4 linked regions of the Diceros bicornis minor genome follow. The protein of the gene in region 1 interacts with the protein of each later gene in a biochemical or structural test. Links are inferred from orthologs where the notes say so. Each region holds a gene or a part of one and is shown on either strand. Other genes may lie near its edges.

Evidence for each region. The genes of interacting proteins can lie anywhere in the genome.
Region 2: of the proteins of CHUK (region 1) and MAP3K14, one has a biochemical effect on the other in vitro, tested with the Homo sapiens proteins (5 studies listed by BioGRID and IntAct, with this or other methods). The link is inferred for Diceros bicornis minor from reciprocal best matches to the Homo sapiens genes CHUK and MAP3K14.
Region 3: of the proteins of CHUK (region 1) and MAP3K1, one has a biochemical effect on the other in vitro, tested with the Homo sapiens proteins (3 studies listed by BioGRID). The link is inferred for Diceros bicornis minor from reciprocal best matches to the Homo sapiens genes CHUK and MAP3K1.
Region 4: of the proteins of CHUK (region 1) and NFKBIB, one has a biochemical effect on the other in vitro, tested with the Homo sapiens proteins (2 studies listed by BioGRID). The link is inferred for Diceros bicornis minor from reciprocal best matches to the Homo sapiens genes CHUK and NFKBIB.

Annotation. Positions count from the first base shown.
Region 1 is NC_080745.1:65,541,878-65,549,434, forward strand, and holds the start of CHUK (inhibitor of nuclear factor kappa-B kinase subunit alpha), read right to left. Parts: upstream 3,012-7,557; 5' UTR 2,973-3,011; coding exon 2,868-2,972; intron 1-2,867. Other genes in the region: CWF19L1 (CWF19-like protein 1), read right to left, coding at 5,805-5,949.
Region 2 is NC_080757.1:43,655,533-43,663,211, forward strand, and holds the start of MAP3K14 (mitogen-activated protein kinase kinase kinase 14), read right to left. Parts: upstream 3,019-7,679; 5' UTR 2,929-3,018; intron 1-2,928.
Region 3 is NC_080759.1:19,158,968-19,166,228, forward strand, and holds the start of MAP3K1 (mitogen-activated protein kinase kinase kinase 1), read right to left. Parts: upstream 3,019-7,261; coding exon 2,537-3,018; intron 1-2,536. UniProt on the Homo sapiens protein: Component of a protein kinase signal transduction cascade. Activates the ERK and JNK kinase pathways by phosphorylation of MAP2K1 and MAP2K4. May phosphorylate the MAPK8/JNK1 kinase.
Region 4 is NC_080773.1:13,004,756-13,011,940, reverse strand, and holds the start of NFKBIB (NF-kappa-B inhibitor beta), read right to left. Parts: upstream 3,019-7,185; 5' UTR 2,970-3,018; coding exon 2,791-2,969; intron 1-2,790. Other genes in the region: SIRT2 (NAD-dependent protein deacetylase sirtuin-2), read left to right, coding at 3,407-3,422, 4,258-4,304. UniProt on the Homo sapiens protein: Inhibits NF-kappa-B by complexing with and trapping it in the cytoplasm.

The sequences.
Region 1 (7,557 bases):
ATTTCACCTACTCTGTGAAGGCCTTCCTTACTCTACCTTTTCAAAAAGAATGTTCCATGGAAAGTTTATACATGTCTGGCCAAAAAAAAAAGAGTTCTATGTTTAAAAAAATGATAATATTCTGGAGATGGACAGTGGTGATGGTCGCACAACAATGTGAATGTACCCAACACCACAGAACTGTACCCTTAAAAATGGTTAAAACGGTAAATGTTAAGTTACGTGTATTTTACCACAATTTTAAAAATTGGAAAATACTAAGTTAATTTCTTTACTACAGGACTTCTCAGGGCTTTTAATATGCTACATGGGTTATGAATCTCCAAATGAAGAAATATTATATGCAGCATTTACCCAATGTATTTGACCATAGTATCCTTTTATCAAAGCATTTCATGGGATTTGTTTTTCCAAACACACTTTGAGAAGTGCTACCCTGTTCCCTAGGAAGACTTCTTTGGTTATTTTGCCATTCTTCCATGTCACTTTACAAATAACTTGGTTATACAGGTTATCACACTGTACTTAAAGTGCTTCTGTGTCTCCCTCACCCACTACACTTGAAATCGCCTTAAGGCCAGAAAATACTGTTTTTGTTGATTTGGGCACTATCAGCACCCAGCACAGTAATCAGCTAAATAAACCAGCTCACGTCCTTTTCTCTTCCTCATTGTGCTTTAAGAAGCGTAAATGAAACACTGGGACGTGGCTTCCATCAAAACACAAAGAGCTTGAAAGCTGTAAATGCAAACCCTAAGTCAGGCTTGGAAAAGGAATGATGCTGTTCCCAAGCCTTATAACAGAGTATTTCTTCTCTTCTCACTACAGGCTCAGTTGTCAAATGTCCCAGTTTGGAGGAAGGGCCACTCGACAACTGGAAAGTTCCTGAGAGATTTCTAAGATTCTAGAGGAACCCAAATCTCTTCCATTTAAAAAATGATGAATTCCACAGAGACAGAAAGTAGAACAGTGGTTGCCAGAGGCTGGGGGAGGAGGAAATGAAAAGTTATTGTTTAATGGGTACAGACCGTCAGTTTGGGAAGATGAAAAAGTTCTGGAAATGGATGGTGGTGATGGTTGCAAAACAATGTGAATGTACTTAAATGCCACAGACTATACACTTAAAAATGGTTAAAATGGTAAATTTTATGATATATATACTTTACCACATTTAACAAAAAAGTGATGTATTCATCCATCTCCAGCCAGAGGCCAAGAAAAGCAGTCACAAAAGCATGCCAGCATGCATACTTTTTTTCTTATGACCAGGCTGATGGGCAGGCTTAGATAACAAGACCACAGGCAACATTCCGCTACAACTACTTGGCTCCCTCTCTTTTCTCTTTGAGTGCCTTACATCCTCTCTGATGGTGAGAATTATTAAATTTACTACTTGTCTGCCTGTCAAAGTACTTAATGCCTTAGTCCTTCACCTTCCATTCCCCCTCTCTCCAAAATTTCCTCCTATGCTCTATCTAGAAACCTGTTTCACAAAATTTCTTCAGTGATATTCGTCTTTGTAACTGCCAAACATACCTATTCCTCCCAGGTAGACTGCCATATCCCCTACCTCCCACCCTATATTATGGTCTCTCTACCCACACCCATATTCCTTAAGTCAGCAAATGATGTTTTTCCCTCTTGAATTCATTTCTCCATTCACAGGCCAATTGCAAACACTTTAGTAATATCTTAAACTGCTCATTTTGTCCCATATGTTTTTCCATTTGGATTTATCTTTTACAAAAAATCTTCCTAGAACACTACTTTTATCTTGTTTCCTTTTTTAAGCCCAATTAATGATGAAGAAGATGATAACAGCAACAATACAGCAGTAGCAGGAGCTAACATTTGAGGGCTTACCATGGGCAAGCTACTGTTCTTAGCTTTACATACATTATTATGTTATTTAATTCCCGAACAGACCCAAGATGTATATTAATCACATTAATATAACCATTTTACAGATGACAAAACAAAGACTATACTGCAGGGATTATTAGTCCAAGGTCTATACATCTAAAAGGTCTGTGAAAGTCCTTCAAGAGAGCATGAACCCCCTCAAATGACAATGCATAAGGTTGTGAGGATGTGCATCTGTGCATTTTTATGGGGAAAGGGTTCACAGCTTTTATTGGTATATCAAAAGACACAGAGCTCAAATATGATTATTAACTGCTGCTTTAACAATGGTTAAATGTTCTCAATTAAATCAAAGCAAAATTCCGGAGTCTGATGTTAGGTGTCTTCACTGATTAGAGCACCTCACCCCGATCTATCTTCTTTCCTTGTGAAATCATTATCATTGTCACCAGCTGATCCTCATGCTGTTCCCTACCTGGAACGCATCGCCAACTCCAAAGCCCACCCAGTGCTTCCAAAAGCTTAGCTGTGGACTCACCGTAAAACCTTCCTTGTCTACCCCAGCCCCTACTGATAATACGACCTCCAAGCACACACACACATTGCAACAGGCAGCCCCCCCTCTTCACCCATTCGTGCTCACACATACACACTCTGATGTGCATCTGCCTCACACTCCCTGACACTCTCCATATTCAGAGAGTGACATACGTAATGTCACACTCAGTAAACACTTCGTCACACCTTGACACTCATACCAAGAGCTCCCCCTAACAGCTCTATCTCAAACACACTGACCCAGACCTCAGATACAACCTCGGACTCAGTCACCAGGCTCACAAGCACAATCCGTCTGTCTGTCTCTCTCTCTCTCACACACACACACAGTGGCCCACAATACTGCCCAAGATCTCCCCGACAATCTCTCACATACTGACAATCACTGTGTTCCACAGACGCTCTGACAAACACCCACGGCCGCTCCCTCGCGCGCCCCGCCTCACCCGATGCTGGTATAGGCAGACGTTCCCGAAGCCACCGGTGCCCAGCCGCTCCCGCATCTCCCAGGGCCCGCCCGCGCCCGGCCGCAGCCCCGGGGGCCGCTCCATGGGGCGGGAGGGCAAGCGGCCTCAAGCTTCGCCACCGTTCCCAGGCCGGTTCCGGGCCGCCACAGCTCCCGCGTCTGTCTTCTCGCGAGATGTATGCGTCACTTCCGGTAACTGCTGGAGGAAAAGCCCGCCCCAAGTTCTCCAGGGGCGCCGCAGGAGCCCTGCAGGTGAGAGAATCGTGTGAGGAGAGTGGCGTTTTCTGCCCGCTCTCTAAGTCCCCTGTGCATTTTCCTGGCTGAGAGAACCAGCCCTGTTCCCTCATGTGTTTTTCTGGTCTTCAAGAATATAAGATCTCTCCAGACCCTACATTCCCTTCAAATCACTTTCCAAACCAGTCTCTCCAGTATTCGTCTTTTCTAGACTTTACATCGTCCCCACCCCTACCTACACTTCACCTTTCAGACTTCTGCCGTCTATCCTCCAACCTCATCACCCGCTGAGCTGGCACTGGCAAAGGCCACCAATGATTTAAATATTGAGGAATGCGAAGAACTAGAAAGAATCCTGCGCTAACAGGCCCACTGATGCATTAGCTTTCATAGTTCACTTTTTTTTCCCTTAATGATTAATCATCTTGCATAGACGAGTCAGGCTCAGCTCTTCTTTTGCTTGACTTCCTATACACCTGTTCCAGGATCTCACCTGTATGTAACCAAATGACTCAAGGATGTGACGCTGTTCCAGAGTAAAGAATGTTCCTCCTGACTTCGGGAGTTTCTCCCTAAATTCCTCACGGAGCTTGCGGTCAAATAGTCCTCCAGTTATGGGGTTTGCCGGTGCGGTAGTTATTCATTGTGGGGATTGTTTCTGATGCGTGATACAGGGCTACAGAGGCAAGCTTGGGAAATACTGTTGCTGCAACAAGAAGTGCTTCTGAGTGCCAGATTGCCCTAGCCTAGAGAAACCAGCTCCCGCTTTTCTGCTTTTCGCTTTGAGTGTCAGACGCTACATGGAACTTGGGGATTTCATCAATCGCTCCAGGTGTAACAATCAGCTAGAATCAAAATCTCTGATGAAATGTGTCAGCTGCCATAAGCACAGTCATTTGAGCCTCCTTTGAGATCATGTGCACTTGGACTATCATTTGCACAGCCTGGCCTGTTAACTCAGTACTTAGAATTCCAACCAACGTTTTGTGACACATGGTTGTGCCATGACAGATGTAACATGCTCAGATGTCTGAAGGTGGATATGGCACGTACACCACAGCACGCCATCAAAGCTAACTGCTTTGAAAGCACTGAATCAGCCTTTGGCAAAGCAAATGTGTCTGCTGTCACCAGAATCCCTGAACAGTTCAACCAGAATGTAGAGCACTGCATCATACAAACCAAGTCATGTTGTAGGTTGTCAGTAATGTGTGCTCAGTATCAGAGATTCTGATTTCACATAGGTGCTTGGTAGCCATGGAGTTGGAGTATCAGACTTTGAGGTGATGGCAAATAGTCTAAGAACATGTCCCTTAAAGCTGGGCATACTGCACAGATTGTGGTGCAGATTGTCCTAATAGTATGAAGCCCTCTTGTTTGTTAGATGTACAGCATAGCTAGCAATGGAGCATGTCTGATCTCCACAGGTGGGGCTGAAATCTAATTCTCACTTGGAAGAGCTAGGGAAGGATGCTGAGGACTTGAGGATACTGATGATTGGGCTGATGCTGAAGTAGCTGTCCTTGCAGGAAGTGGGTTGTTTCCCCTAGTTCACTCTTTAGACATCCCCATACTCAAGGTCACTGTGTAGCTTTTTTTTTTAAAAATCCAGGGCCAGTTGACCTCAGGCTCAACGATCTTCAAGTTTGCCATTCTTGGTTTTTTCATGTGTAAAATGGAGGTAATACCTACCTCATAAACGTTTTGTGAGGATTAAGTGAAAAAGTGTCTGTGTCATAAGTGCCCATTATATAGCAGCAAATCTCTTTCTTTTGGCTTCTAAGATACGGCATTCTCCTGTGAGCTTTCTCTCCAGTCCTTCATGTACTTGATGGATCATTCTATTTCCAAGCACTGCTTAAATACTGATATTTCTCAGGTAGTCATCTTCAGCTTAGGACTGTATTCACCCTTGTTTTCATCCATTCTCATAATCTCACCTATGGCCTATACCCTGATGATCCCTAAAGCCCTATCACCAACCCAGATCTCCATGTGTTTAGAACTATCTAACAGCACACGAAAACTCAACATATCCAGAGCAGAACTCATCTTTTCTTAAATCTGCCCCTTCTCTTCTCAATTAAACTGCAAACTCTGGGACAACAGGGACCATGTTGGAACATGGCTATACTCCTAGAGCCTAGAAAAATGCCTGGCATATAGGAGAGTTAAGTATTTGCTGAAGGACTGAATGAGCTCTTTTATATAAATAAGATGAATGCTATAAGAGAAAAACGGCAAAGGCCTTGGGGTGCTCCAGCTGCACCTTGCTCAAGGAGAAGCCACCTGTGAGATCCTGGGATAACAGCTGGGCCTAAGGCCCCGCCCCTCCTTTTACACACACATACTATTTCATTTCAATGGTTACAGGTAACATGAACACAAGATACTTTCCCCACCCAGGGAAAAGCATTTGGATTTTATTTGATAGTTTAAATGTTTTTGAAAATGTTGATAAACACAAGCTGTACTTGGAGCTGGATGACAGACATAGGATTATCATCCTAGAATGTGATTTTTTCCAAAAAAATATTCAATCTGAGGCTTCTTGCTGCAGGCAGCTTCCATGGGAATGCACAAAAAAGAGGCAGGGAAACAGTCCCCATGGGAGACTGCAGTTTCTTAAAAAAACAGACTGCTACTGTTTCCTGTCAAGTTCATAAAGTGTTTTGCCCTTTGCTTAGTCATCCAGAGTGAAGTCAAAGGGCTCAAAGTCTTTCCGGAAGCAGCGAGCCAGGGTCTCCTCCTCTTCCTTGCTGATCTGACACTGCCTCCAGTCAGACTTGTCAGGAATATTAAGGATGGCTTCACTGGCCAAGACCTCCCTGCAGAAAGAACACAAAGAAGTCAAAATGGACAGTATCAGCCCAAAATCCCCTCCCACCCATTCCTCTCCTGCCATCACCCCAAGAAGGTATGCAAATTCCTCTGACTTTGCTCATACCATTCTCTTGCCCTGAGTGCCATCTCTGCCAAAATCATACCCATTTGACCAGCTCAGGTCCTATCTCTTTCCTAACCCCTCAAACCCAATTTTCTCGCTCTCTCTTGAACAACTCAGAACTTATTGGTACTCAGGGAAGTAACACGGCATAGTAGAGGCCAGAGGGCAGACCCTGGTGTCAGAAAGATCAGAGACCGAATTCCATCCCTAGCTCTGCCACGTGCTGTCTATGACTTGAACAGATTACTCCACCTCCAAATCTTGATTTCCTTACCTATGAAATGCAAAATAAGGTTTTGTGAGGTATACAGATAACACAATCAAAGCACCAAACTAGCTGTGATTACATCCTGCCTTAAAATGGAGCTTTGTCACCAACTAGACCATGGGTTTGCTGAGGTCATGGTACACAGTCAGGCGCCACTCTGACTTAAAATTCTTCTACCTCTCCTTCTAGGAGACTCAGGCCTACATAGGCATAACAACACAAGCTCAGTGTCAACAAAACAACTTATCTTGGCTCTCAGAACTAAAGAATAACTACATACAGACACAGAGACAGACACATACATGCAAGCTACCTTCTAATTGCCACTGCTTTATATTTTTATTTATTTGTACTTATTTTGATATATTAAAAATAACTCTATCTGCACATCTACATGGTTCATTTTCCACTTTGAAGCTACAATAAATGGAAAAGTTGAAAACAAAACACACGAGTCTTCTAAAAGTCACAGCACCTGAGCTCAAGTTCTAGCTCACTGGGCAAAACTTGAGCCTACTTCTTCATCCATAAAATGAAGATAGAACCCCCTTTCTTGTACAGTGGGGAAAAAATGTCTTTTCAAGTATTTCAAAAAATACTTTTTAAGTATTTTGTTAACTATAAAATACTGTATAACTATAAATTAGTATTTTAAAAAATACTCAATGTTGAGCACAAAATCATTCAGAGAATCTCTCTTTTGTGGGCTTATGTGCCAGTGTGTATCTGCGATCATGTGCCTACGTCATCACTGTCCACATCTGCACCTATTGCTGAGGCAACAACAAAAAGATAATGTCAGATTTTTGAAGCTCCTAATACACTTGTTCTCATTTATCAATTATCTTTTTGAAAATGTAGACAACTGGACTTATCCAATGGTGGCAATCTCTTGGGAGGCTTTCCAAATTAGTTGAAGAAGGGTTCAAGGTTGCTTCAAAGCTCAGTTCTAACTGGGGAAAAAAACAGCTGCAAATCACAGACACAGCATCATATAATCTGTTCTGCCCATTTTTAACTCTCCTCCACACTATTATCTCTTTTTGCTAGTAACTTCCTGTCTTCAGTCTTTGCCTAATTTATACCACTCTCTGTATGGTTTCGTAGTCATGTTCTGCCTGATATGAAGAGCAGAAATGAAGCCTTATCCAGACCTTTAGGATACTGCAGAATAACGAGGTTAAGACTTCACGTTTTGGGATCCAACAGGCCTGGGTTTGA
Region 2 (7,679 bases), on another chromosome or scaffold:
CAACAAGAAGGGAAGAGGATCTTTTAAACTAGAATACAAAGACGGGCACACAGGCCACTGAGGAAAAACATCTTTTCTCTGCATTGTCACTCAGGTAGTAAGACAAGCCCAGAACTAAAGACCCCATATCTGACATACTTCAATGTCTTGCTCAGCTCAACTGAAATGTTCTACTACACAGTTTGCCCTATATTTGGCCTTCCATTTCTAATCTACTGCTTTCAACATTTCAGTCAGCATCACCAAGTAAATGCAAAGCCTTCACACGTGCATCACTTTAAATGCTCACCCACCCCTTGAAGAGACTCAACCCCCACTCCTTTCCCTTCCTGAGGATCTGGGTGTGCAGAGGCCAGAGGGGCTGGCTTATCCTTAGAGTTTCCCAAATCCACTGACAGGAATTGTCCCCCTTCCCGCCAATTTCACACTGGTGCCATCAAAAGTGCCCATAATGCTCAGATGTTTCCAGTTTAACTGAAATACAAAAATGGGGCAAACAGGAAGCATCAGACACAACTGCGGTAGTGACTTATTAATCATGAAAGCAGAATTTTAGTTGCATTTTAACCTTTTGCCAGGAAAAAAAAAAACAGCTTTGAGATGATAAAAGCCATTGGTACAAATATGCTGCCTATATGTGTATCGAGCTGACTTATACTTTTAATTCAGGACTGAATTTGGTTTTAAGATCTCTTAACTATCCTCCCAGAAAGAACATCTGTCAAGCCAACCACCATGAGTCTGTCAGCTCTTCATCAAGGCAGGGAGCCCATTAGGAAAGCTCATGTGCTATCCATTGAGACAGGAAAAAAATAGGAAATTAAAAGTGGCTTCACAGGCCAAAGTGACAGGACACTCTTAAGAGGATGCCAACAATGAAGAAAACAACCCTGGATGAAGCTTTACCTCTTTCGCATCTCTACAGATCTCTCACCAGACCTCGGCCACGATGAACTGTTATCACCCACCAAAAAAATCACAACAGTTGCCTGGAGTTAGACAACCAACCAATCAGGGCGAGCCTGCTTCTGAACATTAAATGATATACAAACACTCCAAGCAGATCACAAAGGAGTCAGTGTTCAACAGGAGAACCAAAATGAGGAACCAAACCTCCATCTGTTGAGGCGGAACGGCCAACCAGACATTTTTGTTTAATAGATGAAGGCTCGTTTGGCAGGGTCTCTGTCTGGGGTGCCTCTCCCACAAACTCTAACAGGCAACACCAGGGGCAAAAAACCCCCTTCAGAACTGCTTCCTATAATCTGAAAACGGTCAGAAAATGACCTACAGTTTGGCAGCTTATGGCTGTCCGATTTCACAAAAGTGCTGGAATGTATACCTGGGCAAGTATTTCTAAAATTAAAGTCAGAGACTATTACTTTTATTTTGAGACCTTCTGAGAAGTTCACCACACCCTTCAAAATAAATGAGGATGTCCTAAAGGTGTCTGAAAAACTTAGAGGTCTGGCATGGCTGCACCAAAAGAACTCACTTTGACATCACTTCGAAAACACCAAGAGTAAGTCCAAACACATCGTAAGCAAGACAAGCACCTGTCCTCTTATGTTAAGAGCATAAATATCACACCAAACACTTCTCCCTCCTTCCTGCATCTAAGTCCCATAATGTGGTCCTGGTCCAGGGGAAGGAGCCTGGACAAGACTCCAGTGGCCCAGGCTGGAGTCCTCATCCTGAGTCCTAGCTATGAGGCATTAGGCAAGATATATACCTCCCTCTCCCCTCCTGCCCCAGGTGCCTCACCTATAAAATAGGACAATATTATCTATCCCATCACACAGACATCTGAAGGAAAAAGGTTACAGGTATGAAGATACTAAGTAAAAAACACATCACTAATGTGAAGACACTATCTCCTTCTAATCTTTCAGAAAGACCATGTTTCTAGTCAAGGGGTTTTCAACATTTTTCCTGGAATAAACTTCAGACTGCTATTTTGTATTAGGCCCCACCTCTCATCTTTTAACTTTACTTGCTTTTAGAGTCCTAATCAAGTCACTGGTGTTCATCGTCTCCAGTTAACAAAAATAATTTTGCCAATTACACCACTAACTTCTGGATCTTTTCTCCACTCATCCTCTCCTCCTCACTCTCATTCCCCAGTCCACCCTTTAGGACTGAGAGCAACACTTTAACTTCAATCAAGAAGGAAACGCTTTTTCTGAAGTCACTCAACATCAAGGAGGCAGGTGGGACTCTCTGCACTGTACAAGTGGCCTCTTTCTCCCTGGTGCTGGGTGGCTGCAGGCTGCCAGGGTCACGATGGGCTTCCAAGGTGGGAATATTATATCTGAGCCGACAGATCAAGTCCTGAGTGGAGCGGACCGAAGAATTCCAGAGGGGTCACGGGAAGGAAGAGGATGCTGCGAGTGGCCAGCACTACCCCGTTGGGTGCCAAGGGCAGGCTCTCCTCCTTCTCCCCGCCTCGGGGTGTGACCCGAGAACTTCCCAGGCAAGGCCAGAGGGTTTCACTGCCAGGGCAGGTGGGAGAGCGCACAGACCGGGCGCACTTGAGCACTAGACACCTTCCGTCCCGTGCCGAGACGAGGCCCCCTCCTGGGGGCACCCGGGGACCGGAGCAGGAGAGGCAGGCCTGCTGGTGAGGCAGGGAGCGCCGGGGAATGGGGATGTCGGGGAAGGGGAAGCAGGGCACCCCTGCGCGCGCTCCGGGCTAGCGTGTGGCCTGCGGGGGTGCGGCGAGCACGGCGTGCGACCGTGGCCCTGGCAGCGTGCGTGAGGGCGCGCCGGCTGCCGGCCGCCAGGGCCGAGGGCTCGAGCGCGAGTGGGTCCGACCGGCCGCGCCGCCGAACCCCCCATTCTGGGGCGGCGGGCCAGGCCGCAGCCCGGCCCCGGGCTGAGGGGCGACCCATCCCCGCTCCGGGCCCGGGGTCCCGCCCCGTCACCTACCGGCCGAGCGCCGATCTCCCCAACCAGCGAGCGCTGCGCTCCCCTCACCCGCGATCTCCCGCCGCCGGTCGCCGACCGCTGCTCTCTGGGCCGACGGTCGCCCCGCCCCACGGTCGCCCCGCCCCGGACTCGGGTCCCGCCCCCTCACTGCCTTCCCGGCCTCCCCCGGGGCCACGCCTCCCCCGGCGGCTGCAAATTTGCCTCGCTTCGCGCCTCCTTGCTGTGGCCGCACCTCGACCTTTGGCCCCGCCCACTCTTCCAACATAACCAATGAGAGCGCGTCCTGGCTAGACCCGGCGCACCGCCCCTAGCAACGATTGGTTAACGAGGTCTCGTTTTCAGAAATGGGCACTACTTCCGGACGATGTTTATAGGGAAGAGATTGCTGGGCGGACGGATTGACAGATGGCGGAGGCGACCCGAGTGTAGGTGTAACCACACATGCGCGCTCGGCTGTGGCAGTCTTTTTACGGGTTGCGTTCTTCTGGAGGTTACGGGAGGGAAGGGCGAGTGTGCGCATGCGTGGGCACTCCCCAGGTTCGAACTTCGGTTACCTTGGAGACGGCGAGGCGCTGTCTCTAGGGTCTGGTTCTGCTTCCTCTTTGCCTGAGGCTGTGGCGGCGTAAGCAGGCGGGGGGACGGTTAGAATCACCTTTATTGAGCACTTACTATGTCCCTAGCACTGTAAAGTCCCTGAGGACGAGTAAGACAGGTTCTGGTGCCTGCTCGAGAAGCTTGGGGAGCCAAAGGCCTACACAGGTCACACCTGTGTGTGGAAACCGAGGTCTGATGAGAAGGCGCGCGGATGGCATGGTGCACCCCCTTCCCACAGCCGGAGAAGCAACGTGGTGCGAGTACTACACAGCCGGAAAGACGAGAGCTTTACCTATGCAAAAAAAGGACCTGGAGTCTGAATACGCACTAAGGTGTCAACAGTGCTTCTTTCTGATGGGAGGCGGGGGGCTGGGCGGTTAGGGGAGGTATGGACATTTTTTCTTTTCTAACTTTCGTTTATCTGCCCTTGCCATCGTTTCTACAGTGAGCGTGTATTTGATTTGTAATAAAAAATTCCAAACTTTAAAGGTTGGCAAAATAAAAGATGTGCACGTACCTGGGCACCACACCTTCATCAGTGGTCCACGGCAGGCAGGTGTAGTAACTGGTTTCAGTGGTGGGGTAGGCAGGTCGCATCCCAGGCTGTCTTGAGTAGTAAGGATCATCTCATCTCTGGCAGTGTTTGAACAAAGGCCAGGCCACCTGCTCAGGATCACTCTTCAGACAGTTTTTGGTAACTATTTTTGGAGATCTGCACCCAACAGACATCTCCGTTGTTGGGGGATAGGTAAGACCATTTATTTAGGCAGAGGTGGGAAACTCACAACCTAAGGGCCTCACCCACTCACACAGGTCATAGGTATGTTTTGTTTGGCTGGCCCAATGTTTTTTTTAAAACTGAGTTTGAATGCCTTAGCGCAGAGCCTGCAGTTCCCCACAGCCCCTACCCCTGTTTTACACTCAACCTCTTAACCTTATGTCGTCCGTCTGGCCCCTGAAGCATTTGAGGTTGTGGCCCCCATGGTGCGCATGCTTGAAGCTGGATGGTCTCTGATGCATAAACTGGCTCTGCCGCTGGCTGGCTTGGGAGATGGTGGGCAAGAAAGAAGCTAGTGAACCCTAAAGCTCCTTCCAACGCCAGGGTTTTTCATTTCAGTGACTCAGGGAGAGGCGGAACTTGGCCAGATGGTGGGTTACAGGTCGGTATCAGCAAGCCTGTAGCCTCTCCCACCACCTGTTTGCCTCTGGGCACACCACTTCTCAGGAAAGTCGTGGGCATGGGCCCAGAGTCTGCAGACACTCCCTGGCTCGCCTTTGCCTTCTCCCTCTCTCACCATTCCTTCTTTAGGACAGCCAATGCCCACACACTTTACCCAGCTTCCCTTGAGACTTCTCTGGTCCTGGTTCACCTCCATGCCGCCCCCCCCCCATCAAGATTATCTGTCTTTAAATCCATCCGTGAACACAGATGTGTATTAGTGGGAGAGAGTGGGCTGTGTTGACCCAAAACTGTGACTCGTGAGAAGGAATTTCACATCAGGCTGCAGAGGAGAAACAAACCACCGTACACTAGTGAGGACGGTGTTTGGGACAAGCAGGGCCTCGAAGTTTCAGCTGCTTTTCTCAGGTCTTTCCAAGCCCCACTGTGTGTAGGGTGAGGTGAGAAACAACACAACACCCACTGGAGTAAGCACTGTGGAGCCTTAAAATGCTTGCACCTTCTGGAAGGAGAGCTTCAGGGCAAAATTACTTCCTCTCAGCCGAGCCAGTTAAGTCACGACAACCTGGGAAAGCTTCTAGCCCTGAGTCATTTGTGCAGCCTCAGCTCTGTTTTAAATAAAATAAATTGACATTTACAGGGTGACTCACACCTGGAGCAGTGAGCCAGGCTCTCAGCACTCAAGGATTTCCATATCCCACCCCAAGGGTTCAAGTCTGGAAATAGGAGGGTTAGACTGTGCTCTTCCAAAAAGAATAGCAGCTTCTGTTTTTTGAGAGCTTACAAAAAGTAAATCAGACACTTCTAAGTGCTTTGTGTGCATAACCTCACTGAATATTCCCTCTAGCCCAGGGTTTTTCAACCTTGCACTATTGACATTTTGGGTTGGATAATTCATTTGTTGTGGAGGGCTGTCATATGCATTGTAGGATGGTTAACAGCATTCTGGCCTCTGCTCACTAGACGCCAGTAACTAGGCCCCTGCACTCAGTTGTGACAACAAAAAATGTCTCTAGACATTGCCAGATGTCTCCAAAATTGCCCCCAGTTGAGAACTCTTGCAGTCTAACCCCATAGAGTAAGTATCTCTTACTTATCATCCCATTTCACAGATGAGCAAACTGAGGCTCAGAGAGAAGTAACTTGCTCAAAGTCACTTTGCTGTAATAGAAGACCTGGGATTCAAACCAGGCGGACCCCAGGGCCCCTGCCCTCCTGCGTGCAGGACTCTGTAAAGAGACTTTGGGCCATAAGGAGCCAGTTGCCCATCAGTTCTGTAGAAGTGTGGTGAAGAGTGAGTGCATTTTGTGCATCAGTGAGAGAATGCTATCCTTGGATCATTTTTGCTTTTCTGTTTGCTTTGGAAGAAAGGAAATTATATTCTGGTTTTTATTGCCTTAGTCAGCCCAGTTCATGATGTCCAGCCACGTCTAGTGAGAAAGTGGCTTGTGAATCATCTGAGTGTCTGTGGATCGCAGGTCCAGATTTCTGTGAGATCCTGTAGTTATACTTGAGAAGAACTCAGATGAGATGCTGAGATCAGAGATGACTGGGGGCTGTGGGTGGGTGTTCCTGGAGGAGAGGCAGTTTTACTTTCCCTATCAGGGGTCTGCCTGAGGCTGCAGCTGTGGTGCTGTCGCTGCCCTCCCAGGCTTGGACCTGCCCCATTGCTTCCGCCCAGTCCAGAGTCTGTGGAGGGGCCATGGAGGCAGGGGAGGGAATGGTTGCAGGCAGTGATGTGCTGGAGCTCTCTTCCTACTGTGCCATTGGTGACCTCACGTTGGTAGCTTGAAACTGGATATGGTGGGAGTATTTACACCGTGGAAATTGGCAAACGGTATAAGGCAGGGCTACCCGCCCCCGAGCTTGTTGTTAAACGTTTACTAGATTCTGGACCCTGACTGCCCCCGACCAATTCTGTGCCCCACGTAGGGAGATGGAAAGGGCTACAAGGAACCACAGAGCTATTGGAGAAGAGGTGGTGCCATGGTGATGTGAGTGAGGAGGAGAGGTGCTGATCTCCACAAAGGACGGAGCTGCCTGGGTGGGGGTCTCCCTGGCAAAAACGACCTTACCAGAGCAGGTCCTGGACATACCTTCTGAGACCTCTCCCAACTTTGGAGCCTTCTTAGGGAGCCCTGGGTTAAGGCTTGATTCAAATTCTTCTCACTTCCTGATTGGTGATCACCTCCTAACTCGCGTCCCTGCCTCCAGTCTCCTCTCCATACTGTCCTCAACCCTGCTGGTGGATGTAATCCTCCCAAGAGACCACCCAGGTCATGTGTTCCACCTCCGATGTCCCTGCATCTCCTGCCCTTCGACTTCTCCCGTTTAGCTTCTTCCTCTCAACCTCCTAATGTGATCATCTCCCCAGCCTAAAAACAGACAAATTAAGAAAAAAAAACAAAAGCCCTTCCCCTATCCTGGCTTTCTCCTACACTGTTGACCCAACTTTCTTTCCCCTCTCAACTCCCGAACTTCTTGGTACTCCTGGTGTCTGCTTCATTCCCCACTTGCATGTACCCCTTGCAGTCTGGTTTCTGCCCACCACCCCTTCTCTCCATGGACACCCACTAATTGCCTCCTAGTCAAGTGACCTTATCTCAGGTCTCATCTGCGGCCAGGGACAAATATGATGCTCTGAGCGCCTACTGCATCAGGCCCTGCGGAGGGAGCGCAAAGCCTCCAGACTAGTCCCTACCCTTAGGGAGCTTCTAGTCTAGTGGGTGGCCAGACCTTGAATAAGTGACTACAAATGAGGACGTAAGTCATTCCAGGTGATGAGAGTGATGAGAGGATGGATAGAGTTACTGTATCAGGCAAGGCCCAACCAGGGAAGCAGAACTCATTCTGAGTTTTTTAAACCTGGAATTTAATGCAAGGAATTGGTTACATGGAGGGTGGAAGAGCCGGGAAGCCCAGCCAGAGAGGGCGAGGTGGCCGGGAATCCACTGCTACCCCTGGGTTGGAGGGACTT
Region 3 (7,261 bases), on another chromosome or scaffold:
TTCAGTTATTACCCCGAAGAAGACGGACAAACTTAAAATCTTCTATTTTTAACATGAATATTATTTATATAATCTACACTTTACAAATGTATTTTCTACACTTTGAATTTCTACCTACAAATATCAAAAACTGAAGGAAATTCTGAAATAAAAAATCATAGAATTCTCTTTAAAAAAAAAACATAGGTCTCTAGAAAGAAGGAATCTCCAGACCCAAACTACCACAGAAACATAAAAATATTCCAAAATCTCAATGTTAGATTTTCCTCCTGAAAGTATGAATGTAACTATATACTGTCAAAAAAGTAAAACATAAATTTCAGTTGAGATTTTACTGAACTGCTTATAATCAAAGTGTTTACACCAAATACTTCAACCCCACTGACAAGGATATTGGGGAAAAACTCACTGTATTTCAAAAGGACAGAGAATCAACATTTTACTATCAATGAAATCTTTAGGTATGACATTTGGAGTGAACAAACAGCACTCCGGCTCATGAAATTCATTTAAAAAAATGATTATGCTGAATAGCCCATTATTTCATATACTGTGCGATTATTATCACCCCTTAAACAAAGAGGGGGAAAAGACCTAGGTTTTAAAATGCAAAAATTTAGCATGGATTACTCCTGAATTAAGCATGAATTAGTCCCTGAATTCTATGTGCCTCCACTTTAGTCCTCTTATTTTGTGTGGCGATAACACTAACCAGCTTCTGTACGTTATTTTTACAGTGGTTGCTCTTCTACTAGATTCACGACACTTGCTAAATTATTTACTGCATCCAAAAACTTGGTCTCATGAGGATAGATACAATTAATTTCTCAAATTTGGGATTTAATATTTTTATCTGGAACTCATTTGTAGTAACAACTGCCTCCAAAGAATTATTCTAGTGAAGGTTTAATCCAATCTGCACAGAAGCAGGAAAGTGTAGAGGAACATAACTCTTTTAAGACTAAGTTACACGCACAAGAGCACACAGAACTATCACAGCCACAAATCTCCTTTCCTCTCAATATTGCCATGGCACGGTGCTGACCATATATTTTACGGTTGGGGGGGTAGTGGAGGGGGCAACTTGCAAGTAATAAACGAACTGTAGTTTTAACAAATAAATAATCAAGTTCAAAAAAATTGCCAAATCACTTTAGATAACTAACCAAAACCGAGGATCCCTACTGTCAACTTCGTCTCACATGGGAAACAAACATAAGACACGATCTTTAAAATACTCAGAATAAAACTCAGAAAATTCTACAGGGCAATGGGTGACGATCACAAAAACACTTCCAGCAACTCAAAATACCCATGGAGACTGTGCTTTGCATACAGCAGTCAGATTTTTTTTTTTAAACAAGGATTACGGCTGTCACACTTAGAAGAATTTCCTTTAACATGAACATTTCCAGTTGCCAAAAAAGGGTCAGGCCAAGAACCGCTGGTCTGAGTTACCTAACACACACCGTAATGCACAGACCCCACAGGACTACCTGAGGCGAAGCCCACCGCGCTGTGGCCCCCGGAATCCGGCAGTCGGCGGCGGCCCGCGCAGCTGCACCGAGTGGGAAACACCGCACCCGCGCCGCGGTCCCCGACCACGCCGGAGAGGCTGCGGGGCGCAGTCCCCGCCGCTTTGAAACTGAATGGCTGACACATCCGGTCCTGGCTCTTACACCACTCCGCCAAATGCAAACTTCAAAGGCCAAATTCAAACTCCAAACAGAAGTCACTCGAGTCTCAGCGATGCAGTCCTCATTCCCAAGAACACCCGGAGCCCCAGTGGGGCACGCAATTAGAAAACACCAGCTCCTAAAAGACTGCAAGCCCCCGCGAGTCTGCAGCCGTCCGCCCGCACCGCTTTGACAGGCGTTACCGAGCCGTCCACCCGGAGCCCCCTGCGGGCGCACCGCCTCCGTCCGCGCCCGGCCCCCAGTACCTGCCGAGGGGCTCTGCCTGTCACGGCCGCGGGGACCTCGCCGCTTTCTCCTCCGCCCTCCGGCCCCCCCACCGGGCCTCTGGCTGGGGGTCCCCACCCACCCCGCCCCTTTTTTGACTACCACCCGCCTGCAGGCTCGGGCCTCATCCCCGTCGTCCCTCGGCCAGGAGAGGCCGCCGCCGGGCTGCTGCCCGACCCCCAGCCCGGCCCCAAGGGCAGCGCCAGGGTCCTGCACCGGGGCTCCTCGGAGAGCCCCGATTCCGGGAGCCCCACAAAGCCAGCCCAGGCCCCCACATCTTATCTTAACGGGTCCCCGCAGCGCGCCTCGCACGCCTGTCGCATGTCTGCAAACAATAACAAACTCTCTGGCACGTCGCCGCCCCGGGCCCCCGTCCTGTCCCTCAGGCCAGGTCCAGGGCGCCGCCCGACCCCGGAGAAGTCAAAGGGGGTGCCCGGGGACTCGGGTCCCGGAGAGCGGCGCGCAGCTTCTCCGCGCGGAGCCCCGGCACACCGTGCGCCGTGCCCGGGGTTCATTCATTGCCCTCGCTCGCCCGCCCCCCAAGTCCCCGCCGCGCCCCCGGCCGCGCTGCTCACCCGGCGGGGGCCGCTGCAGGAGGCGGCTCGGCGGCGGGCGTCCGCTTCTCCCCGGGCTCGGCCCCCGCGGGGCTCGGGGCGCCGCTGTCCAGGGCGGCCGCCGGCTCCGAAGGGTGGGTGCCGCCGCGGCTCGCGGCTCCGTGGGGCGGCGGCACCGCCACAGACTGGAAACCGCTGCCGCCCGCCGCCGCGTCCGCGGGCTCCGGCGACGGGGAAGTGGAGGAGGACTGCGGCGAGGCGGCGAGGAAGAGCGGCGGCTCGGGCAGCTGGTCCAGCTCCACACTCCGCACTTTGCGCAGCTGCCGCCGCCGCCAGTCCGCCCGCTCGCGGCCCCCGCTGCCCGTCTCCCGGAGCAGCCCCGCGGCCGCCGCGGGCGCGCTGCCCGCCTTGAGGGCCCCTCCGCCGCCGCCCGCCTCGGGGCTCGCCGCCCCGGCGCCCGGGAATCCCGACGACGAGGCGCGATTCCCCGCCGCCGCCGCCATTTTCTCTCGCGGGCTACATTCGCTCGGCCCCTGCGAGGGAGGGAGGGGGCGGGGAGAGTGCAGGGGGCGGGCGGACGGGCGGGCGCTGCGCCGCCAGCGTAGGGTCGCCTGCGCCAACTGCGTGAGCGCGGCCCGCCGGGCGCTCGGCCTGGACGGGCGGGTGGCGCACCGAGTTCGGCCGCGGGGGACGGCGGCTGGCAGGTGGGGGGAGTGAGCTGTGCGCTGGGCCCCGCGCGCGGCCCGGAGAGGTGGGCTCGGACAGGGCCGCCGGGGGTGCGCCCTGGACTTTGCGCGCTGCACCCGCCGCGCCGCCAGGTAGTCCCGGGCTGCACCGGCGAGAGGAGGGGCCTCGGGGCGGCAGCGCGCCGCTTCCTCTCCGCCGCAATCTCGGCCCGGCTCGGCCGGAGCTCGCCCGACGGGAGTTGCAGTTCGAACTTAGGTGTGTGGTGCGTTGAAGGGGACGCAGGCGAGAGAGCCTGCAGTCTGTCATTCGCACTGCCCTTTGCAGTGGGCGTCGGGGAACCCGGGCGCGGACCAACCCGCCCCCCCCACTCCGCGCGGGACACGCAGGTGGCGCCCGGGGCTGTCGTCGGCTGCAAAGCGAAAGAAACCTAACGTTCAGCAGACGTGCTGCCGCGCACCAAAAAAGTTTTTTTAAAAAGCTTTCCTGGTCTTTTCTCCCCTCCCTCCGGCTCGTGCTACAAATAAAACTTGAAAGTTTCCTGGAATGTCTTGTTCGCAATCTAAAGTCACCGATTTGGGACGCTTCTCTTACCCCCTACCCCGCCCCCGGCTAGAGAGACAGGGAAGGGCGGGGGTCCCTGTGGATCTTTATTTTTAGCTCCGCTGTCTTTGGGAAAGGCAGCGGTATACAGGGCCAGATAGAGCACGTTTAGGGAAGGAACCAACGCTGTGCCAGGAAGTGCTCGCTGTCATCCTCGGCCAGGTTCTGGCCCTCCTCGAATTCGATGCGGCGTGCGGCACGTCCCTCTTTCCGGCAGGGTCGGGGCTGCCTCCGCCCCCACCCCTGCAGTGGCCGCGTTGCCTAACGTGGCGTTCCCAACCCTTCCAGTCCCCGGGGGCGTCTCGGCGATAAGGTGCTTTGGAAGGGAAAAGCACCATTTACGCGTTAATGCTTTGCGACCTTTCTTCAGGCGAGTAGAGCTTCTGCGTCAAGTTTATTTCTCCCCTCCCTTCTTTTCCTCGAGCCAGATTGTCTGTGATGGGAAATCTCCCGCAACCCGGGTGTAGAGTCCCTGGACTGACTTTGTGAAACTTTAAGTCGTGCGGGGCGGAGGGAGAGGGGGAGGGTTCCTCAAGAACAGGAAGCAGAGAGGTATCTTGTCAGACTTCATATATTTAGACATAAGTCTGCACTGTCTACAAAACAATTCCTTTGACTTCTTGGAGGTAGATAAAATGAAAGCCCCCTTCCTGGGTGTAAATGTTAACTGAGGAGGATGTTGATATCCCAGGGATTTTTTTAAACTGTCCTGATTTCATGTTAGCTCAATGTTTTAAATACTGCTGCAACATCTACCATAAGATAGTTACATCCAAAGGTACAAATTTTGAAAGTTTAGATAAATCTGTTAAAATTTTAAGTCTACATTTAGGCTCTAATTATACGCGCTTTTAATGGTAGCCAAGTGTACCATCCAAACCAAACAGTAGTTATTTCCCAGGTCTTCCCGGATGGCCCCACCCACCAAATCCTAAATTGAAAAGGATAAACTTTCCTGTTTCCTATTTAGATCGAAAAACCTTTACATGTGCATACACATGCTCAGGTGCCTGTGAATGAGAGAAGTAAGTGGATCCCTTTCAAAAGACATTCAAAAGTTTGTTCCAATTTTGAAGTTTGGCCAGAGTAGCAAAGTAGAAAGGGATTCCTGCAAAACTTACTTTTGCCTCTGTATTTGTACACAGTGATGAAAATGGGACCAAGTGAGAGGAGTACCAAATGCAACATTATCAACTAGCCATAGCTCTCTGCCCTCCTCCATCCACGGCACACTGCCGTGGAGAAACCTAAGTGCTGGTCTTTCACCTAGTTTTTGGTGCTTTGAGTCATTTTTCCCTTAATCTTTTACGTAAATATTCCAGTTGTCACTATACATCTATACACTGACAAACTGACTTTTTTTCAAGAGAGAAAAATAGAGGATTTCCTTGACTGAGAGGGGTGTTCTTCCTGTGTCATACGTTAATACAAAGACTTCTTTGAGGAGAATCATCCCATGAGATGATTGCTGTTGTGGTTTCTGTGTCTTAAGCATGGTTAAGACCCTAGCTCTGGTTTTGGTGCTCTTGGGTCCTGCTTTAAATTACTGCACAAAGCATATGTCGAATTGCCTTAATTTGATTTCTTTAATGACATACAGGAGACTTGTATCTCCTCAAAGGTTGCTTGTACACTGAACACTCCAGTTACTATTTCCAAGTTCTTTATTTCCATCCCCTCTCAGATAGAAACGTTGCTGTGAGTGATTTCCTTTATGCCATGACAACTTTAGTAACCTTTATGCCTGTGCTTTACAGATCACTGCTTCCACATAGTGCTTCTGGGAAGTGCCAAAGTCACACTTCAGTTCCTACACCACATTCATTTGGAGGATCCAGTTTGATATTGGTGCATTTCCTCATTGTGCATAAATATCACTGATATTAGAATGAACAGATTCTACAGCCTGTACCTCATTCATCATGTATTTATTAAGCACCTGCTATGCACATGAAAGGAATTTTCTTCTTCTCTGGGAGTATTATTTGTTGTTTTTGTATTTACAAAATTAAATAAATAAAACATTCCCATCTACAGATATTTTTATTAGTGGGTACTTATTGGGCTGACTCTGGTAGAATTTCAGATCCATCACTCGTGTGTGTGTGTGTGTGTGTGTGTGTGTGTGTTTTCATGCCTCTGTATGTGAGATCTGTCTTAGGTAGACATAAAGAGTAAGAATGTAACCTTGAGAATAGAGCCAAAACTGGTGTTCTATCAGGCTTGTAAATACTTATTATGAAATACTTGCAGTAGAGTTGGAGCTAGAACTTGGTTTCTCCATGCTCTTTCCAGACACCACACGTCCCAGATGTTTTCAGAAGTTCTAAGTCAGGAAATCTTATCATTTGTGAGATAATTGGCCCCCTACAAGGACACTGTAGGTGACACTATAGTAGCAAGTTTCTTAACCAGCCTCCATTTAGCTGACTCACCCAGTAACAGATGCCTATCATTCCCGGTGTGGCATACAACATGCAGAGGATGCCAGAGCACAATGAATGCTCATGGCACCGGCACACTTCTGCTCCCACCTGCTGAGTTATGGGCCCCAAGAGAAACCATCATACCTATTCCCAAACCTGATTACACCTATTATAACTGTCCCTATGATGTTTAATTAAATACTATTAAATTGATTATTGGATTAATAAAATGTATGTGAGTGCAAAAAGAAAGTTGTTCCAATGAAAACTAAGTTAAATGCTTTGAAAGAATGAATGAAGGTAAGACACTAAAAAAAGTCTCTGTCAAATTAGTTGTGGATATGACGATTGTAAAAGATTGGGGAAAAAGCATTCAAATCTATTAGAACTTTGCAAGCATTCATCAGTTTTCACTTTGTTTTAAAAGAATTAAAAGTGAAAATTGTAGACAACGAGATATGTGAGAAAGATACATGGGACTCTAAATAGTGGACCCACACTCAAAAGACCGAGGCCCTACAGCCAAATACGGGTTAAAAAACCTCACACTGGGACCGGCCCCGTGGCTTAGCGGTTCAGTGCGTGCGCTCCGCTACTGGCGGCCGGGGTTCGGATCCCGGGCACACACTGACGCACCACTTTTCTGGCCATGTTGTGGGGCGTCCCACATACAGCAACTAGAAGGATGTGCAACTATGACATACAACTATCTACTGGGGCTTTGGGGAGAAAAAGGAGAAAAAAAGGAGGAGGATTGGCAATAGATGTTACCTCAGAGCCTGTCTTCCTCAGCAAAAAGTGGAGGATTGGCATGGATGTTAGCTCAGGGCTGATCTTCCTCACAAAAAAAAAAAAAAAAAAACCTCACACCATATAAAACAAAACCTTGTTATTTATGTTTTAAGCTAAAGTAAAAATATATGTATGTATGTGTCTATATATACACATATGTATATATTTATGATTCCCTTTTTTTAACCAGCCATCTAAATATTTTACGTGTATTTGCATGTTCTTAAAATCCAAAACTGAA
Region 4 (7,185 bases), on another chromosome or scaffold:
ACAAACAGTTAAAGCTGAGAAGCCAACAAAAGAAATACAATGGAACAATATTTACTCCTTCACAAAGAAGGCAGAAAAAGAGGAAAAGAGAAACAAGGAAGACATAAGTATAAAACTAATAACAAGCTGATAAACTTAAACATAACCGTATCAATAATTAAATTAAATGTAAACGGCCTAAACACTCCAATTAAAAGGCAGAAATTGTCAGGTTGACTTAAAAAGTAAAACTCAACTCTATGCTGCCTACAAGAAACATTCTTTAAATATAAATATTAAAAAATAGGTTAAGGGGGCCGGTCCCGTGGCGTAGCAGTTAAATGCATGCGCTCCGCTGCTGGCAGCCAGGGTTCGGATCCCGGGCGTGCACCGATGCACTGCGTGTCAGGCCATGCTGTGGCGGCGTCCCATATAAAGTGGAGGAAGATGGGCACAGATGTTAGCCCAGGGTCAGTCTTCCTCAGCAAAAAGAGGAGGATTGGCATGGATGTTAGCTCAGGGCTGATCGTCCTCACCAAAAAAAAAAAAAAAAAAAAGGTTAAAAATAAAAGGGTGGAAAACGATATACCAGGCTAACACGAGTCACTCAAAAGAAAGCAGGAGTATTTTCTGATCAGACAAAGTAGATTTCAGAGCAAGGAATATTAGCAGGGATAGAGAAGGTTATATCATAATGATAAAGAAATCAATTAATCAAGAGGACATAATAATCCTAAACATTTGTGCCTCTAATAACAGAGCATCAAATTACATGGAGCAAAAAGGAGAAATAGACAAATCCACAATTATTGTTTCAGATTTCAATACCTCTCTCTCAACAACTGATATAACAAAGAGACAAACTCAACAGCAAGGATATAGACTTGAACAATGCTATAACCAACACAACCTCTAACTGACATGTAAAGAACACTACACTACCAATAGCAGAATACACTTTCTTTTGAAGTGTACACACAACATTCTGAGCCATAAAACAAGTCTCAATAAATTTAAAAGGATTCAAGTCATACAAAGTATGTTCTCATCCACAATGGAACTAAATTAAAAATCAATAAAAGAAAGATATTTAGAAAGACTCCCAGATATCTGGAAACTAAATAACATGCTTCTAAATAATCCACCGGCCGAAGAAGAACTCAAAAAGAAATTAGAAATTATACTGAATTAAATGAATTGAAATGAAAATAAAGACACACAGGGGCCTGCCCAGTGGCGCAAGTGGTTAAGTGCGTGGGCTCCGCAGCGGCGGCCTGGGGTGTGCTGGTTCGGATCCCGGGCGCACACTGACGCACTGCTTGGCAAGCCATGCTGTGGCGGTGTCCCACATAAAAAGTGGAGGAAGATGGGCACGGATGTTGGCCCAGGGCCAGTCTTCCTCAGCAAAAAAAAAAGGAGGATTGGCAGATGTTAGCACAGGGCTGATATCCTCACAAAAAAAAAAAAAAAAAAGAAAAGAAAAACACACATATCAGAACTTGTGAGATAGTGCTAAAGCAGTACTCAGGGAAATTTACAGCACACGACACCTTGATTAGAAAAGAAGAAAGGTCTCAAATCAACAACCTCAGTTTCCACCTTAAGAAACTAGGAAGAGAAGAACAAATTAAACCCAAAGTAAGCAGAAGAAAGGAAATAATGCAAGTCAGAACAGAGATCAATGAAATAGAAAGAAAAAAAAAATAGAGAAAAGTAATGAAACCAAAGCTGGTTCTTTGAGAAGATCAATGTTTACTGAGTGCTCCTATGGGGAGACAGGAGAAAACACAACACACAAACCCAGGGACAACCCCCCCTCGGCTTTTACAACTGTTGTTCCTTCTCCCTGGACTGCTCTTCTCCCCAGACAATCTACTTGTCTCATTTTCCCGCTTTATTTTTGTCCAAAGAACTTACTGCTTTCTAACATACCACTTTTCTCTCTTTTTCTTCTTTCATTTCTTTCTGTCTTAGTTTCTTCCCGTCTTTCGCTTCTTTTCTCTTTCTTTCTTTGTGCCTTCCTCCATGTCTTGTCTGTCTGTCTTTCCTTCTGTCTCCCTTTCATTCTCTCTTTCTCTCTCTCTCCCTTTCTTTCTCTTTCTTTTCTTCTCTCTCTCTCTTTCTCTCTCTCTTTCTTTTTCCTCCCTTCCTTCTTGTCTGTCTGTCAGTCTGTCTGGCTGTCCACATACCTCCACTAGAATGTATGCTCCACAGGGCATATGTTTTTGTCTGTTTTCTTCTCTTGCCTTATTACCAGCACCTCAAACAGGGCCTAGAACATGGCAGCGTTTGATAAATATTTGTTTAACAGATGAATCCCTGCTGTCACAGAGCCTATATTTTCTCTTTGAATGTAAGATTTGAAAACTAGTGCTCAGAAGGTGGGATCTTAGAGTCAAAGGCCAAGTATTAATTGGGAAATCAAAGAAAAAGGCTCATAAATCAAGAGCTAAGGATCAACGATCATATTTGGAGATTAGAGGTCAGGAAGGGCCTGCCTTAGCTACAGTTCTAACAAAGGTCTCCGGACTGGGGTCAGGAAGGTTAAATTGACTTTTGAGATCAATGGATAGGGATGTGGAAATCTGAGAACCTGAGTTCAAGAAAGAACGGTCAGAAATTATTGGATTAGGATCAAAGCTGGAGAGGAAATTGGTCTTATTAAAGGTTAGGACTTGGGGGTTAGAGATCAGGAAGTCAAGCATCAGAAGTCAGATTTAGGATGAGAGGTTGGGAAGCCGGGATCAGAAACTAACAGGGAATCAGATGTCGGATCCTAGGGCCCGGTTAGGCAACCTAAGGTTCACTCACGTGTCCCCATCCTCAGTGACGTATCCGAAGACGAGGGGCGCCCACGACAGCCCTGGGCCCAGCTCCGCGCCCAGCCCCGGTCCTCCGGGGGCCGCCGCATCCGGACCCAGAGAGCCCAGGCCGCTGTCGCACCATTCGTCGGCGTCCGAGGCTTTCCCCAAGCACGCGACCCCGGCCATGGCCCCCGAAGCCTCAGGGGCCCCCAGCGGCCGCCCGCCCGTCGCTGGGCTTTGCCTGGATGTCTGGCGCTTCCGCCCTGCGGGGAATTCCCCAACCCGCCCCCTGACTCACCCAATCAGCGTGGGCTAAATAGCACATGCCCCACCCCCGTACCACACTGTGACCAATCAGAGTATTCAGATGGACTGCGGCTCTCTACCCATTCCCACATTTTCCGGGCGCCCTTTACCAACATGGCTGCTGGCGCGGGGCACTCTGGAACTCGTAGTCTGGCCCTCGGGAGTCTTCATTACCTGAGAGGCTGCGAAAGCTTGTTTGCGGCCGCGATGGCTGCTGGGAGTTGTAGTTCTCTGCCCTATGTCTGTCCCTCCTGTTTCCGGTGCCGTCACGGGACAGAGCAGTCGGTGACAGCTCCTAGGGCTCCCGCCCCGCGTCCATGGCCGAGCCGGACCGTGAGTCGGGGGCCCCGGTGGGAGGGTCGGGCCGCGCCGGGGCCTGGCTGAGGGCTGCAGGCCCCGGGGCCCGAGGGTGGGCTTGATGGGGCAGCAGATAGGGGCTGCGTAGGGGGGCGAGTGGGACTCGGCGGGCCGTTGCTAAGTGATCCGTATTGCTAGGTCGGTGGGTTTCTGGGTCGCGAGGTTTTAAGGGTCCGTTTGCCACGTCCCCCAAGTTACCCATGATTGCGTGTTTCTCGCACCTTGGTCGCTAAGGACCTTCGTTTCTAAGGACTTAGGTTGCCGCGGTCCCGGTTGCTAAGGGTATCTGGTTGATGGAGGGAGCTGTAGGAAGCTAGGGGACCCCTATATCCCCTCCTGTCTCTTCCCTCTAGTTCCTGTGCCTCTCCTAAACCTACCATTCCCACCACGCCTCCTCTCCAAACCTGCCTCCAGTCAGAGTATCTCTCATCTTCTCTTACTTTCTAAACTTCCCTCTGCCTGTAAACCTGACCCTCTCCGCGCACACACTCGCATACTATTATGTCCTCCCTACCTCCTCCTGTCTTCCTCCATGCCCTATATGCTTTACTTTCTCCTCCTTCTCCTAAACTTTCCCGTCCCAGCCTCTGTCCCTCACTAACCGCCTCTCCCCCCAGCCCTCTCCACTCAAATAAGATCTGCTTTTCCCCATCCCCTCCCTCCCTCTACTCCGTTTTTACTACCACTGCCCCCACCCCAGTATAACTAGGTTGGTGAGTCTTCTTGCCCCCTGCTCCCCTACTTTGAAGCCCTTCATTCCCCCTAACCATTCCCCCCACTGTAACCACATCTACTCCCCCTCCTCCCCCAGCCTCTGACCCTCTGGAGACCCAGGCAGGGAAGGTGCAGGAAGCTCAGGTGAGATGGGGAAAGGGTGGAGGGAAGGAGAGAGATGTGCTTGTTCCCACACCCCACTCCCCTGGGGGAGGTGACAGAGGGGAGACAGTTATCCCAGGGCCCTCAGCTCGCTGCCCCAATCCCTCACCCCACCTCCCCGGTCAGCCTCCTGGGGAATGGTGGATTCTGGGGACTGTCAGAGAAGGTCGTGCAGCCTCAACCCCAGGCCCTCTCCCCAGATCCCTCCCCCACCTCCCCACCTCCGCCAACCTTTCTGAACCTCATTTGTGTCATTGCTGGAAGAGACACGTATCCCATCTGGTCCCTGAACTCATGGATCTCATGGACAAATGACTAGAAAATGACCCTACAGGGCGATTATGAAAGTAGCTCAGGGCACTGTGGGAGCCCAGAGGCAACTTTGTGGGGTCACAGAGATTCCAGCCAGTCCCTTCCCTGGAGGAATCCACAGGCTGGTCTAGGAGTCAGACTGAGGTACAGACACATCATAGTAAGTGAAGAGTGCCTTAGTGTTTCCTTAGGCAAGATGAGAAGTGATGTTCCACGCAGAGGGTCCAGCCTGTGCAAAGGCTGGAGGGGCGTGAAAGAGGGTGATGTGTTCAGTAGTCGGTGGCTGGGGTGGTCAGCTACTTATATTCATGGGTACTTACTCCAACCAGGTGCTCTGCTTAGTGTTCTATATGCATCATCGCATTTCATCTTCCCAGCATCCCTGTGCGTGGCAAGATCTATCGTGGCCATTTTATAGATGAGGAATTTGAGGCAGAGTTGTCAAGCCTCTTGTCCTCTGTTTGCAACCCACAGCACTTGACACACACAGTGCCTTCCAGATGCTTTGGGGAGAGGTAGATAGGCCGCCTCACAGAGGCTCGAAGGCCCCGCCAGCACCTCCAGCTCCCCCTAAGCCAAGTTGCCCCCACGTGCTGGGCAGGGCCCTCGAGTCCTTCCACAGAGCCTCACTGTCTGCAGCCTGAAAGAGTGCCAGCCCACCCACAGACGCGAGGCTGCTGTTCAGATGGGGGACAGAGCAGAGCTGTGACTAGAGCACCCCACAGCTGCCTGCAAGAGAGTATAAGAGCCTCCATCAGGCCGGGGCTTCTCCCTCTGGCTCCCCAAGCCGGACTACTGTCAGAGAAAAAGGTTGCATGTTAAAAAGGAATCCTCAGTCCCAAAGAGAGAGATTCAGGATGTAAATTGCAGCATTGTCTGTGACAGGGCGAAACTAGAAACAGCCGGAATGGCTGTCAGTAGACGGGTGAAATGAACTATGGTGCATCCTTACAATGCAACTCTGTAGCTGCTTAAAAGAAGGAGGTGGGTCTATAGTGTATTGTTCCAAGGAAAATGCAGGGTGCAGCATCGTACTATGGTATGACCCATTTCTGGAAAAATAGTGAGGTTTCTATGCAGAGAAAAAATCTGGAGTAATGATTGTACTGCTAATAGCAGTTGTTATCTCGCCGGGGTGGGTGAGAGAATTACCAGGCAAGTGCCCAAGTTATACATTGTCTAATGGTCAGAGTTTTTGCAAAGTTTATATAATCTTAAAAAGCAATAAAACAATTTAAATATGTTTAGAAAGGAGGTTCCTATACTAAAAGGCTTGGAACCTGAGAGGGAGTAATGGGGGAGAGGGTTGTAGGAGGGGTTTAAGCAGGAGAGTGAGTTGGTCAGAATTGTGTTTTTATGAGGTCTGTTGCAGGGCCCAGCCCTGGCCCAGCACACAGCAGGTATTTGTTCAGTGATGGATAGTTCTGGAGCTCCTGCCAGGTGCCAGACCCTGTTCTTGTGCTGGACGTCCAGGGGTGAACACGCAACATCCCTGCCTTCGTGGAGCCGATATCGTGGTAGACTCTGGCTGTTCATGATCAGATGATTAGACCGGAGAAGCCAAAGGGAAGGGTCTTTGCAGTGGAGGCGAGCGGGCTGACCCGGACAGGCCATCACGAGGAGGGTAGCAGAGTAGACCGGAGAGACCGAAGCTGAGAGCCTAGGGCCCCTGGTGGGAGAGGACGGGCTAGACCAGCTGGAGCCCTGGGAGGGGACACATTATGGCGGGAGGGGAGGGGAGGGAGGCGGGAAGTGTCTGGCCGACTGGGAAGCCACGCTAAGATGGGACCCAGGAGGAGGAGCAGGTGTGGCAGAGATGCTGAGGCTCGTTTGGGACTCGGTGGGAGTGAGGGGCCTGGGGTCCCTTAGGGGGAGGCATCCAGGAGGCTGCGGGAACCCTGGATCTGGGGACAGAGAGGTGACATCGTCAGTGACTGGGCTGAGGCCACTGGCAGGGATGAGGCAGCCCTGGGAAGGTGGAGAGAGACAGCAGGGAGGGCCGGGGACAGGGCCCTGAGACCTGCAATCAGGGAGCCTGGCCGAGGGGAGGAGTGGAGAAGGGCAGTGGAGGGATTGGAGAGGTGGTGTCAGGGCTTCAAGCAGGAGGGCGAGGACCGGGGCCTTCCCACTGGGTTATTCCCAGGAATGCCTTTGAGGAGGGCTGTGGGGTGCTGGGACGGGGCGAGACCCACACCACAGGGGCCAAGAGGGGCGCAGGGCGTGGCTGTGGACACCAGGCACGTGATCGTGACCATAGCCACCGCTTCCTGAGCACTCGCCCCGCAGGGTGCTGTTCTAAGCACCTCACGTAGGTTAACTTACCTCATGTCACAGTAGCCCTCCGAGGTGGGCGCCCTCGGAGCTCCATGTCGAAGATAAGGGGAGCCGGGACTCAGAAAAGCGAAGTCGCTCGCTCGAGATTATGCTCCTCCGAGGGGCAGGGCCAGGTCTCCACTGCAGGCAGCCTGTCCCAGTGCCCACACTCTGGCCCCCAGCATGCCCCTCCACCGCCCCTCGCGTCTTCGGGCCCACCTCCCAGGCAGAGCCTTTC